Callithrix jacchus: one gene and its partners. The protein of the gene in region 2 purifies or fractionates together with the protein of the main gene of each other region. This does not show direct contact. Links are inferred from orthologs where the notes say so. Each region holds a gene or a part of one and is shown on either strand. Other genes may lie near its edges.

Region 1 (4,064 bases), on a different chromosome or scaffold from region 2:
TTGGGTGGCTTGTGTCCCCCAGAAACTCCTTTTGGTGGGAAGTTATGATAAATAAAGCAAATGATGCAAGGAAAGATCTGAGTCAAAGCTTTGACTTGCAGGCTGCTGAAGGTGGGGAGAGCTTTCAGACTGGGTGGCTGGGATAGAGAAAAGAAGCCTTCTCTTCCCCCAGCTATTCCTTCCACAAGAGGCACTTCTGTAGTCTCCAAACGCAGTATTACAACAGCCTCTGGGCCTCCCCTTGCTGCTTATAGGCACTTCTCAGTCCACCGTCAGAACCCATCTTTCTGCCAGGGTGCCAAACATCTTACACTATAGTTGTGGGCCTGTGACGGTGCTGCCTGCATATTCGGCTGTGCACATCCAAGAATTTCACCCAACTAAAAGTTGTAAAGTGGTTCCATTTCCACACCCCCAACCCTTTTTTATGGCTATAGCCACATATGAAGGTCATTTTTTTGCATTTACCCCTTTGTGTCCTTTGCTGACAATGACCTGCCCCTCCAATTCTGCTTGATGAAATCTTTAAGACCCAACTTGAATGCCACCTCCTCCATGAAACCAATTTTCCTTCAGCAGAAGGAATCTCTCTTCTCTGAGCTCCTATGGATGTCTATTTACATACACATTCCTGCCTTGCCTTAGTGCCTTACGTAGACTCTCCTCGGCTGAATCTGGAGCCCTTGGAGGGGTAGAGTAAGCACGTCACCCAGTCTGTAACTGCACCTAGCAGCAGATGCAGTATGAATGTCTGCCTCACCCACAGTAGGGACAAGTGCCTGCTGCCCGCGGAAGCAGGGCTTCCCGTTTGCGTTACTCGCTTTTAGGTCTACCTAACAGAGTGGACCGGACACGGTTAGGTCACACAGCCAGAGGAGTCTGCCCACCTCAGCCAGTGCCTAGGGTGCACCTACCTCCTATACTGTCTAGCTCCAAATAGGTTGTGTGTGTGAAGGAAGTTGGGGCCGGGTAGCCCGGCTGGCTCATCATCCGCATCCACCCTGAAGATCTCCGAGTCCCAGAAGGCCTCCTTCCAGTCCGAGGACCTCAAGAAACTCCAGTCGGCGGTGTGGAAGCTATAAGGGCCTCTACCACGGATACGTCTCTCACTAGCGTTTAGTTTAATAAATTTATTTATATTTTTTGGAAGGAGGGAGCATTCAATGAAGGGGAAGAGGCGGGGCGAAGGGCGGAGGCGGGCCCAGGGTGACTGACGTGAGCTCCGGGGAGCCAATGGCCCGTGGGGGGCGTTCCCCCCCATTCAGGACTCCTCGCCTGGCTCGGAAGGTATGTTAAACAGCTGCTTTTAATTTGGTCCCCCCAATCTCAGTCGTTTGGGGGGCTAATCCCCCGGCCGCTCGGTCTGGCCGGCCCGACGTGGTGTGAGCCCCACGGGCCCTGGGACCGAGCTGAGGGGAGGCTCGGAGTCCCGCGGCCGAGGTAGGCGAGGGACAGGCCAGGAAGGAGAGCTCTTGGCGCCGCCCGCTCGCCTGTGTGTGTGTTTCGAGCCGGGCCGGAGCCGTGGGGAGGGGGTCGGTCCGGCCTGGGTCGTCCCTGCGCCGGCAGTGCCGCTTAGTTTATCTCACCGAGCAGTCGGTTTTGGTAGGTTTTGGCGGCGTACTGGAGAAGGGGCGGGCAGGAGACCCCCGCTCCTGTTGTGCCTTTTTCAAAAAAAGAAAAACATTAGGAAGGAAAAGGGGGATTCCACACGCCGACTAGAACCGGGCCCGGGTTGCGGCTTGCAGGCTCGGCAGGGGGCGGCGGCTCGAGCATGGTCGGCAGGGCCCATTGAGCTTGCGGCGCCCGGAGTTGCTTGAGAGCTGGAGTTAGCGAGCGAGCCGGGGCCCGCGGCTTTCCCGACTACCCACGCTGAGCAAGGGCGGCAGCCGCCCCGAGGGTTTTGTTTCTGCCTGCAAACTTGTCGGAGGGGGCGGTGGGCGCGCTCTGGAGAGGCGCGGGCACAGTGGGCCCGCGGTTGTTATGGACTCGGGGGGCGGGGGCAACACCGGACTTGCGGGAGGGGTAGCCGGGGGCGGGAGAGGCCACCGGAAAGAGCCGCTGCGCCTCGCCGCTAACCCCGCGAGCTGCCGAGGCTCCGAACTCCCCGGCCGTAGCGGTCATCAGCATTCGGTGCCAGAACCCGGCAGGCCGCGAGCCGGCGAGGAGCTCGCACCGGTGGTGGGGAAAACCCCCAGGAACTCGGCGGCTTCGCCCCGCGGCCCCGGCTGATCTCCTTGCAAACATGGAGCTGCCTGCTTCCCCGCCCACCCCAAGGCGGCGGCGGCGGCGACTGCTGCTCTTTTCCCCTCCCCCGGCCGTGCCGCCGCCGGGCTCCCCCTTCCCGCGAGGTGCCACTGCGGGCCGCTCCGCGCGGATGGGGCGGGGGCGCGGGCGTGTGCGCGCCCACGAGGGGGTGGCCTGAAAGGGGCAGTGAAGGTCGGAAACTGGGAAAACAGTCTCCACGCTCGGAATCGGGAAAAGGAAATGCATCAGCGGGCGGGAGGGGCGCGGGGGGCGCGCCTGTCAGCCGGGATGGCGGCCGTGAGCGGGTAGGCGGAGCGCCGGCGCGAACCGTCCCGGCCGGGCGGGGCAACGCCGGGAGAGGCGGCGCAGGGGCTCCCGTCCACCGAGCGCCAGGCGGCCCCTGCCAACACTCCTCGACCCAGACTGTTTACTATCTACTCCACCGGCGGCTTGTGCAACCCGCCTGGAGGGGAGCTGAGGGGCGGGTCCGTTTCCTCTCTCCCACCTACCTCGGGCTCGCCCGGGGGCCCCGCCTTCTCTTGTCTTCCACTGGCTGGGTGAGACCCCCTTTTTTCCTCCTTCTCGGAAGTGGATTGGATGGCATTCTCCCGAGCTCCGCCTATCGGGAGGCCGGGCTGGAGTTTAAGTTGCTAGGATTTTTTTTCCGCGGAGGGAGGAGGGAGGGTTCCTGCCGCTGACAAGAGGCGCAGGGTCCCGCCCCCGCCTCTGATTGGTGGGACGAGTAGCCCGGCCTCCTCCGGCTTTGCGAGCTTGGAGTGGGAAGTCCACTCTTGTTCCCCGCCTCCTCCCTTCGCTCTTGAGCGCGCTCGGCACATGTGTGAGGCCCGCCTCGCTCCTTCGAACTGCCCTCCCGCCCGGAAGTCCTAGGCTCGGCGCCCTTGGCGAGGGGGGCGGGGATAGCCGAGAAGCCACACAAAGGTTCCACCGAGGCTCTAGACTTGGTAGCCTTCGGGGTGAAGCCAGGGGATTACAGTGAGGAGTGGATTTCGGTAGCGAAGCTCCGGAGGTTCTGCAGGGGTTGAGATCTGCACTTCGTGGCCGGGGCCAAGTACTGAAGTTCTGACCCTGTGGCTTGTCTATTTCCGCGCCCCTTGACTTCCCTGAGCTTAAACTGAGAACTCTGTAGACGCTGAAAGCGTTTGTTCTTCCCTAGGCAGGTAGCTGCCGTCCTTAGTTGGCTGTGTCTAAGATTCTTGACAACCTAGAGCGCTGGCCTGGGACCCTTTGGCGAGATCCAGCGCAGGTAGTACCCTGTGGTCACGGGAAGTCGTGAGCGGCCTAATGCTGGCTTGGGTTCTGAGTAGTTTTTGATACCATGGTGAGCCTGCCCCGTGATACTCAGTTTAGTGGTGGAAGGGGGCGCAAAGTTAGGAGTTTTGGGTCGGTTCTGCTGGAGTGCCACTTCCTCCTAGCATCCCAGCAGTTTGGCCCAGGGGTCGCTTCGTTGGTCTTATTTTTAGAGCTCCGTTCCGGGACAGGGCTTGGCTACTGGCGAGGCTGCTCCCACCTGTCGACTCCCCTTGAACTTCACAATTCGCTGTCGTGGTTTTGTGGCTCGAAGCCATCACTGGAGTCAGGCCCACCTGCTGCCAGAGCTCTTTCCTGGCCATTTCCACTGATTGCAGAGGGAGAACAGAGTTGGACCCAGGAGTGGGTTCGCCGTGCCTGTCCCTTGGGAGGAGGATTCGGCTTCCTCTGGAGTGCGGTAAAAACCTAATCCCGCCCCCTCTCCTGACGCTGGGAGAGTGTCCCCTCAAAGTGAAGTCAGCTCAGGCCCACGCTTTATTTGGTGAATAAAT
Region 2 (4,250 bases):
GCCTTCCCCCAGCACGAAAGCCAGCCTGGGTACCCGTGGCCCGTGGGAAAAGGTGCCAGGGCCCAGGGCGGCAGGAATGTCCCTCGGCCTCGGGCGAGGACAGCCCCCAACCCCCTCCCACCCATTGCGTCCCGGAGCCCGCAGGCCTCGCTGGACGCTGCCACCTCTGGGGACCACCAGGCCGACCGTCCAGCTTTGGGACCCAGGCTTTCCCACTTCGGCCTGCCAGGGCTTGTGGCTCTCCCACTGCGTGGCCAGGCGTGGAGAGCCGGCCCGACCGGACGGACGGAAGCGCCCCGCAGCCCCGGGGCGGAGGGCAGGGGTCTCGCCAGTCTGCCCGTCGGGACCCGCGGGGCCGAGATCCTGAGAAGCCACCCGGCCAGGGGCCGGCAGAGCGGCCGCGGCGGGGGCACCGGGCGCCGCCCCTCCCAGGCCCGAAGCCCCGGTCTGGTGGGGCGGGGCTGGCACGGGCGGGAGCCGCTGACACCCGGCCACCGAGCCACGGGCCACGGTGCAGCGGGGGCCGCGGGGCTGCGCCGCCAGGGTCACGTGGCGCGAAGTCCCCCCGCGTGGCCACCATCCCTGTGGTGTGTGGGACCCCAGAGGCGCCCGGGCTCCCCGCTGTGTGGTGTCCCACCCTGGGAGAACCCCGGGTGCGTGGCGTGGCCCGCCAGCCGTCCCAGCTGGTTTGCGGTCGAGCGGGGAGCCTGTGGGTTTCTGGGCCCCGGCGGCGGCGAGACGGGCGCCTTCCCAGCAGCGCAGGAAGCGGCCTCGGCCGGAAGGGGGCCCCGGGCGCCGCCACCACCGCCTCCGCCTCCGCCCGCGCTAGCGGCCGTCGGCGGGCAAGGCCGAGCGGGGCCGAGTCGAGTCGAGCACGGCCGAGCAGAGCCGAGTCCCGGGCGAGCGGAGCCGAGTCGTAGCAGGGCGGGTCCTAGCGCAGCCGAATCCCGGGCGAGCGGAGCCGAGCGCGGCCGAGTCCGGGCGGGGAGCGCGCGTTCCTGGAAGAGCCCGGCTGGGGAGCGGGTCACATTCTTGGCCGGCGCTCTGGCTGAGGCGGACGCACAGCAACAAACAGCGCGGGGGGCGGGGCCGGCGCGGGGCGGAGCGGGCGGCGCGGGGCGGGGCGGCGCGGCGGCGGCGTGAGCTCAGCGCCGGGCGCTCAGTCCGAGCCGAAGCGAGCCGCCGGGAGGATGTTCGCCGAGCGCCCCAAGCCCCGCGCCGCCGCCGCCGCGCTCTGAGGGCCGCGGGCGAGAGGCGCCTCCGCCGCCCCAGAAGCCGGGCGGGCGGGCCGCGGAGCCGGCGGGCGGGCGGGCCGGGGGCCGGCGGCGGGCGCGACGCGGCCGGCCAGCGCCGCCGGGACGAGCCGGGCGGGCGCCGCGCGGTGGGAGGAGCGGGGCGGCGGCGGCGCGCCGCGCGAGGACGGCCCGGCGGGCCCCGCGCCCGCGCCCCCGCTCCTCCCGGGCCCCTCGGCCTCGGCCGCCGCGGCGATTCGCGCCTCTCGGCGCCGCCACCTGCCCGCGCGCCCCCCGCGAGCCCCGGGCCCGCGAGCGTTGGCGTTGGCGTTGGCGGCGCGCGCCGGGGCATGCCCCGCGCCTAGAGCCCGGGGGGCGCGCGGGGGACGCGCGGGGGGCCCGGGCGGCGGCGGGCGCGGCGCGGGGCGCGTGGATGTGGCGCCGGGCCCGGGCGGCGGCGGACTCCAGCGGCGGGACCCCTTCGCCCCGCCCGCCTTCCCCTTCGCGCCCCCGGGCGAGGCCGCGGCCGTGATCGGTCGTGAGCCGGCGGCAGGGGGCGGCCGGGGTCGGGGCCGCGGACGCCGCCGGGGCGCGCGGGGCGGCGGCGGGGGCCGGGGGGGCCCGGGCGCGCGGGAGCGGGAGCGGCCCGGGGAGCCGGAGCGCACCATGGAAGCGGCGGCGGGCGGCCGCGGCGGCTTCCAGCCGCACCCGGGGCTGCAGAAGACGCTGGAACAGTTCCACCTGAGCTCCATGAGCTCGTTGGGCGGCCCGGCCGCCTTCTCGGCGCGCTGGGCGCAGGAGGCCTACAAGAAGGAGAGCGCCAAGGAGGCGGGCGCGGCCGCGGTGCCCGCGCCGGTGCCCGCAGCCGCGGAGCCGCCGCCCGTGCTGCACCTGCCCGCCATCCAGCCGCCGCCGCCCGTGCTGCCCGGGCCCTTCTTCATGCCGTCCGACCGCTCCACGGAGCGCTGCGAGACGGTGCTAGAGGGCGAGACCATCTCGTGCTTCGTGGTGGGAGGGGAGAAGCGCCTGTGCCTGCCACAAATCCTCAACTCGGTGCTGCGCGACTTCTCGCTGCAGCAGATCAACTCGGTGTGCGACGAGCTCCACATCTACTGCTCGCGCTGCACGGCCGACCAGCTGGAGATCCTCAAAGTCATGGGCATCCTGCCCTTCTCGGCGCCCTCGTGCGGGCTCATCACCAAGACGGACGCCGAGCGCCTGTGTAACGCGCTGCTCTACGGCGGCGCCTACCCGCCGCCCTGCAAGAAGGAGCTGGCCGCCAGCCTGGCGCTGGGCCTGGAGCTCAGCGAGCGCAGCGTCCGCGTGTACCACGAGTGCTTCGGCAAGTGCAAGGGGCTGCTGGTGCCTGAGCTTTACAGCAGCCCAAGCGCCGCCTGCATTCAGTGCCTGGACTGCCGCCTCATGTACCCGCCGCACAAGTTCGTGGTGCACTCGCACAAGGCCCTGGAGAACCGGACCTGCCACTGGGGCTTCGACTCGGCCAACTGGCGGGCCTACATCCTGCTGAGCCAGGACTACACCGGCAAGGAGGAGCAGGCGCGCCTCGGCCGCTGCCTGGACGACGTGAAGGAGAAGTTCGACTATGGCAGCAAGTACAAGCGGCGGGTGCCCCGGGTGAGTGGCCCCAGGCCTGGGCGCGGGGTGGGGCCGGTGCGTTGGGTGGGGGGGCACCTCCTGGGCCTTGCGCTCCGGGCTCCGAAGGCCGGGACCTGTGTTCTGCCTCACTCCTGTCTCAAGGCTTCGGTTCGTTTAGGGGAAATTCAGAGCGTTCCCTTGGGCAGGGCCAGTGGGTTTGGAAGGAAGCCCTCCTGCCGGTTCCTCAGGACGAGCCTGGGCGGGGCTGGTGGCGGTGGGGTGCGGGGCCAGGCTTGGTGTGTGGGAAAGGCCCACAGCCATTGCCCAGATAGGCCAGGAAGGCACAGGCCTCTTGTGCTGCCGAGAAAGCGGCCTGTCCCGAGGTCAGGGAAGTTCCATCCAGCCGTACTGCGGCTGGATGCCTCAGGCCCGGGTCTTCCTTGGGGTTGGGGTGAAGGTGGCTGCCCTTACCCCGAAGCTTCCCAGCTTTGAGCCCCAGGAGACAGAGCTCGGGCCAGGCGAGGCCTGGTTTTGTTACTGGCTCTGCTCCCTGTTTGGTGTCCTGAAGTTTTGGGACACAGACCCAAAATGAAGCCAGGTGTCCGGCGTTAGTGGCGGAGGGCCGAGACTCAGCAGCCCCAGCACTGTGCTGGTTCGTCTCCCTGGGCCTGCCAGGGAGCAAATCCCAGAGTCCCCCGTGCAGGGTGAGGGCCACTTGGCACCCAGCTGAGGGCCTGGTCAGCAGGCTCCTGGGCCCGAGTGCTGGAGTTCCTGGCGGCCTGCGATTTGTTTTGGACTCACCCGTTTCCTTCTCTCCCTCTGAAGCGCAGAGGGACACGCCAGGGAGGGAGACTGTCAGCCCGGCTTTGTTGTTTGCCAGTTGGAGGATCTGGAGGATCCGGCGTGGGCAGCTCCCAGGCCATAAGGCACCGACATTACCCAGTGGGGTCCTCAGGAACTTTCCGTTGCATACCTTCCCAAGTATTTGTAACTTTTTTTTAAATATGCAGGCTTATTAAATTGCACACACAGAATGCTGCATTGGCTCAGCTATTCTTGGGAGGCCTAATTAATTCAGCTATTGCATCAAACTTTTTTTTTGAAATCTGTGAATAGATGCTCCAGCCCGGTTTTCTCTGGGCGGCCCTCCAGCAGAGTGTCAGATCGTGGGGAGGAGGGGCTGTGGATGGAAGCGAGGGACTGTCGCCTCTGCTTGGAGGGGGCTGCGGAGAGTGTGCGCGCGCGTGTATGCCTGTTCAGGGGCGCTCTGGCCCTGCCAGGCCAGAGCCTTGGTGCAGCTGCTTGCAGACCTGTGGGCTGTGGAAGGATGCTCCCGGCGGGGCTGCTGACAGACCCAGCAGGCTGGGGCCTTTCGTGTCACACGGGGAGTTGGCTGGGGTGGGCATGATGGCGTACCCTGTG
Region 3 (4,295 bases), on a different chromosome or scaffold from region 2:
GTTCACCGTCTCTTGGTATTCTGCACTTGGCCTTTTTTCTGTTCCTCAAATGAGTCATACTCAATCCTACCACAGACCCTTATCACATGTTGTCCCTACTGCTGCTATACTCTGCCCCTCACCCTCCAACCACCTTTGATCTGACTACTTCTACTCTTTTTTCAGATCTCAGCTCAATCTTTACTTCCTCTAGGAAGCCAGCCACTCCACCAAGCTAGAAAATTCACCATGTATACACTCTCATAATCTGTCATATACCTCCTCTTCATAATACTTAGCAAAAACACAATATTAAAATTTTGGTTTTGTTCATCACTGCATTCCCAACACTTAGCACAGGGCCTACCCCAGAGCAAATGACAAATAAATATTTATTGAATAAACAAATAAGTTAATTATGATTCTTTGACAAGCAGGCCCCCCTTCAGATGTTCCCACTGGTGCCAAAATACCTCACTGAAGGGACTGGAATTAAACTGTTGGACATCAAAAGTCCCAGTCGTTCCTTACCAGTCATCGCCTACATTGAAGGCATTAAGACTCTTGGTGAAGCCTTGCATATTTGTGGGGCTAACTCTCTGCAGGAAGTCAATGTAGTCCTCGGAGTGGAAGCGGCACATGTCATGCTGGGAGGCCTGGTATGGCTTGAAGACCTCAGGATGGAGACACAAGATGAACTCAGGCAGGGTCAGCCCCACTCCACAGGCTCAGACCACCCATACTGAACCCAGTCCTGGAGATTCTATGAAACCAAACATAACAATACTCTCATCCCACAATCGTTAAGTCAGGAGAGAGACTCCAACTAACCAGGTGGGCTATTACAATTGAGCCCCCTGAAGACCACTTCTTTTCCTTTCCACCTCCAGCTCAACCTATCGTACCTTCTCAACTTTGAGCCCTGATCCACCTGCCCTGTTCCTTGGCTTTCCTATTCCCATTTCTCTCCATGCTCATCTCCTCCCCCAAGCTCTGATTCTGTCCTCTTTCCTCTGGATTCTTCTTTCTGGAGTCAACTATATGGGATATATGTCAACTTTCTAATTAAAATCAAAGATTTATCATCTCTGGAAGGTGAGGGGGATGTGTCACACCTCCTTGAAAACTGGACAAGAAAGAGCTTTTCAGGCTGGGCGTGGTGGCTCAAGCCTGTAATCCCAGCATTTTGGGAGGCCAAGGCGGGTGGATCACGAGGTCAAGAGATTGAGACCATCCTGGTCAACATGGTGAAACCCCATCTCTACTAAAAATACAAAAAATTAGCTGGGCATAATGGTGTGTGCCTGTGATCCCAGCTACTCAGGAGGCTAAGGCAGGAGAATTGCCTGAACTCAGGAGGCAGAGGCTGCGGTGAGCCGAGATTGCACCATTGCACTCCAGCCTGGGTAACAAGAGCGAAACTCCGTCTCCAAAAAAAAAAGAAAGAGCTTTTCTTCTCCCAGAAAATGCACACAGGTACGTACGGGCAAACAATCTCAAGGGGTATAGATTCCTGCACATACATCACCTCAGTCTTTTCTATGACCAATCCATTCGTCTGTGCCTTGGCATAAGCAATTAACACTCATTCATATTGTTCACTAATTTCCTAGCAACACATAAAGCCTGGGCTGTCTTATTTTTTCTTTTGAGACAAGGTCCTCCCTGTCACTCAGGCTGCAGTGCTACAGCATGATCATAGCTCACTGTAACTTCAAACTCTTGGGCCCAAGCCATCCTGTCACCTCAGCCTCCCAAGTAGTTGGGACTACAGGCACACCCACCACGCATGGCTACTTTTATTTTTTATTTTTGTAGAGATGTGGGTCCCACTGTGGCCCGAGCTGGTCTCCAACTCCTAGCCTCAAGCAATCCTCCCATTTCAGCCTCCCAAAGTGCTGGGATTACAGGCATGGGCCACCATGCCTGGCTTAACTGTTACTATCCCATATCACAGCCATAAATTCCAAGCTTGGGGGACAGCATGTGTATGTCTGGGAGATGAAAAACTGGATAGCAATTAAGCAGAACCATGTAGAGGTATTCTAGGCTGAAAACGCAATATCTAGGATATCTCCACTCTTGCACACGCACATACACACTTACAAACATGGCAGCACTGTTGGTAAAGGAGGAGTGGGAACTGAGGGTAAATCTCACACCCCGATAAAGTGATATCCTTTCCCCCATCCCAATTCCTGAGGCTTAGGCCCTATCCACACTCTAAAATGCAGAGGAGGAACACACCTTCTGTCTTCAAACCAGTCCCACATCACCCTAACCCTAGGCCAAGGGCCAGTCTGTCTATAGTCAGAGGGTGGCGGACCTGCGGTGAGAAAGTACTTTCAATTAAGCAGAGGACGCCACCCCCAACACCGTGCACATTCAAGGTACTCCTGATGTCTTCTATCCAGCTTCCCCCTACTTTAGGGGCGGGTCGCATTCAATGCACTCAGACCAGCCCACCTATCCCTACGGCCACAGTTCTCCCCACCCCCCAACCCACGGCCGAGGCAGGGGGACTCACGATCATCTTCTTATAGAGACCGTAGTGCAGGACGAGGCTATGGGTCAATGCCAGGCGATGGGGCTTCATGGGGTGTCCAGCTCCTGGGGGGTGGGGAGAAGAGAGTTCGTCAGCTCTCACCCCTGGAGTTTCAACCCCCACCTCCAAATCTCCGCGTCCCAACCCCTCGTGCATATCCCTGTTTCTTCACCGTAGTGGAAGTTGCCCACGTCGGGGTCGTAGAAATAGGCCACGGTCTTGGCCATGGTGCCGGCGGGAGCAGGCCCCGCGCCTCCGCCGCCCGCCGCCAGCCCCGCCCCGGCCGTGCGTGCTGCGCCAGCACGTAGCCTGCCTCTGCGGAACTGGGCGGTGCGGGGCCCGCCTCCAGCCACACCCGGGCCAGGCCCCCAGAGGAGCTCCGCCCCTCGCCCGTCTCCGCTCTCCCGGGATCTGGGGCTTTGGGCGTCCAGGCGGGGAACTGGTAGCATCGCTCCTAGGATGCAAGGGCCTTTTCTCTCCGGCCGGGGGTCAGATCCTCGGAAAGCCGAGCCATCCCATCCAGCCGCTTGCCCCAAACCGGGCGCAGGCCGTGGTCACTTCTCTAGGAAGCTACGAAGGTCCCGCCACTCCCTCCCTCAAAGGTGCGGAAAGCCGGCTTCCCCCAGCCCTCGGGGAAGATTCCTGACTCCCCGCTCGGTCGGGGCATCTGAGGGCAGGAGCTGCGCCAGGCGTGCCGGATAGTGGACAACACCCACACCGGACAGCTTGTCCCCCACCCGGACCCAGACTCCGCGCCGCACATTGCCCCGGGGGGGCCCGGCGCAGTCACGCGCGCGCAAGGCTCACGCTCTCCGCCCATTACACCTGCGCTCCGCCCCCTGGTCCTGGGCCTGCGACCGGCGAAGGCGTTTGGGAAGCCAGGGCGGCTGCGGAGGCGCCCATCTCCCTGATCCAGGGCCGGGGTTGCTCGAAGCCTGCCGCCGCTCCCAGCCAGCCCGCATCCTTCTCTGTCCTTCCCTCCCCCCGCCTGCCACGGCGCCGGTATCCGCAGCCACAGCCCGGGGCCGGTGAGGCGGCGAAGGGGGAGGGGAGGAATCAAGGGATGAGCGCCGGGAGGGCGTCGGGGGCCCTGAGCCGCACTAGGACGCCCCTGGAGCCGGAACCCGAGCGGAAGCCGGAACCAGAACCAAATCACCGGTACTGGGCGGGCCAGGTGGTCTGGGTGGAAGAAACCGAAAAGGGGAAGGGGTGCGGGAGTACTGAGAGGAGAGGGTTGCAGAGGCCTGGCTCAGACCGGCTCGGAGGAGGTGAGGGCGCTGACTCAGGCGCGATTTCTGCTCCCGCCGCCTAAGAATTCCGTCCCATCTCGTGCTGCAGTGTCCTTGGGAGGGACAGAAGCGCGAACAAGCTGTAAAGGGAAACGCTCGGGGCGTCGGGGAAACAGGACCAGGGTTGTGGTAGAGAGCTTGCGTAGCCGCTCACCTCTTGCCTCGGGCGGTACTGGCGAACCAGCACCCTTGGCCCGGACAGCTCCCCGGTTGGGTAGGGGGTGGAGCCGGACCGCTGAGACTAGCTTGTTTCAGACCCTGAGCAAGGCATTCCTACCCCTCCCCCATTCCCAGCTGCAGCCCCCTAAACCCAGGAGGCGCCCTGGCCCGCGCTCGCCCCCCAGGACCTCATGTCGGAACCACAGCCTGACCTGGAACCGCCCCAACATGGACTGTACATGCTCTTCCTGCTTGTGCTGGTCTTCTTCCTCATGGGCCTAGTAGGCTTCATGATCTGCCACGTGCTCAAGAAGAAGGGCTAC

The links. Proteins that work in one complex are often made in the same cells at the same time.
Region 1: the proteins of SKI (region 2) and SIN3A purify together in Homo sapiens (affinity purification with western blotting; 3 studies listed by BioGRID and IntAct, with this or other methods). This does not show direct contact. The link is inferred for Callithrix jacchus from reciprocal best matches to the Homo sapiens genes SKI and SIN3A.
Region 3: the proteins of SKI (region 2) and HDAC3 purify together in Homo sapiens (affinity purification with western blotting; 4 studies listed by BioGRID and IntAct, with this or other methods). This does not show direct contact. The link is inferred for Callithrix jacchus from reciprocal best matches to the Homo sapiens genes SKI and HDAC3.

Annotation. Positions count from the first base shown.
Region 1 is NC_133509.1:22,403,379-22,407,442, forward strand, and holds the start of SIN3A (paired amphipathic helix protein Sin3a), read left to right. Parts: upstream 1-1,259; 5' UTR 1,260-1,440; intron 1,441-4,064. UniProt on the Homo sapiens protein: Acts as a transcriptional repressor. Corepressor for REST. Interacts with MXI1 to repress MYC responsive genes and antagonize MYC oncogenic activities. Also interacts with MXD1-MAX heterodimers to repress transcription by tethering SIN3A to DNA.
Region 2 is NC_133508.1:40,278,921-40,283,170, forward strand, and holds the start of SKI (ski oncogene), read left to right. Parts: upstream 1-1,450; 5' UTR 1,451-1,898; coding exon 1,899-2,867; intron 2,868-4,250. UniProt on the Homo sapiens protein: May play a role in terminal differentiation of skeletal muscle cells but not in the determination of cells to the myogenic lineage. Functions as a repressor of TGF-beta signaling.
Region 3 is NC_133503.1:40,068,913-40,073,207, forward strand, and holds the start of HDAC3 (histone deacetylase 3), read right to left. Parts: upstream 2,806-4,295; 5' UTR 2,752-2,805; coding exon 2,697-2,751; intron 2,590-2,696; coding exon 2,507-2,589; intron 654-2,506; coding exon 511-653; intron 1-510. Other genes in the region: RELL2 (RELT-like protein 2), read left to right, coding at 4,164-4,295. UniProt on the Homo sapiens protein: Histone deacetylase that catalyzes the deacetylation of lysine residues on the N-terminal part of the core histones (H2A, H2B, H3 and H4), and some other non-histone substrates.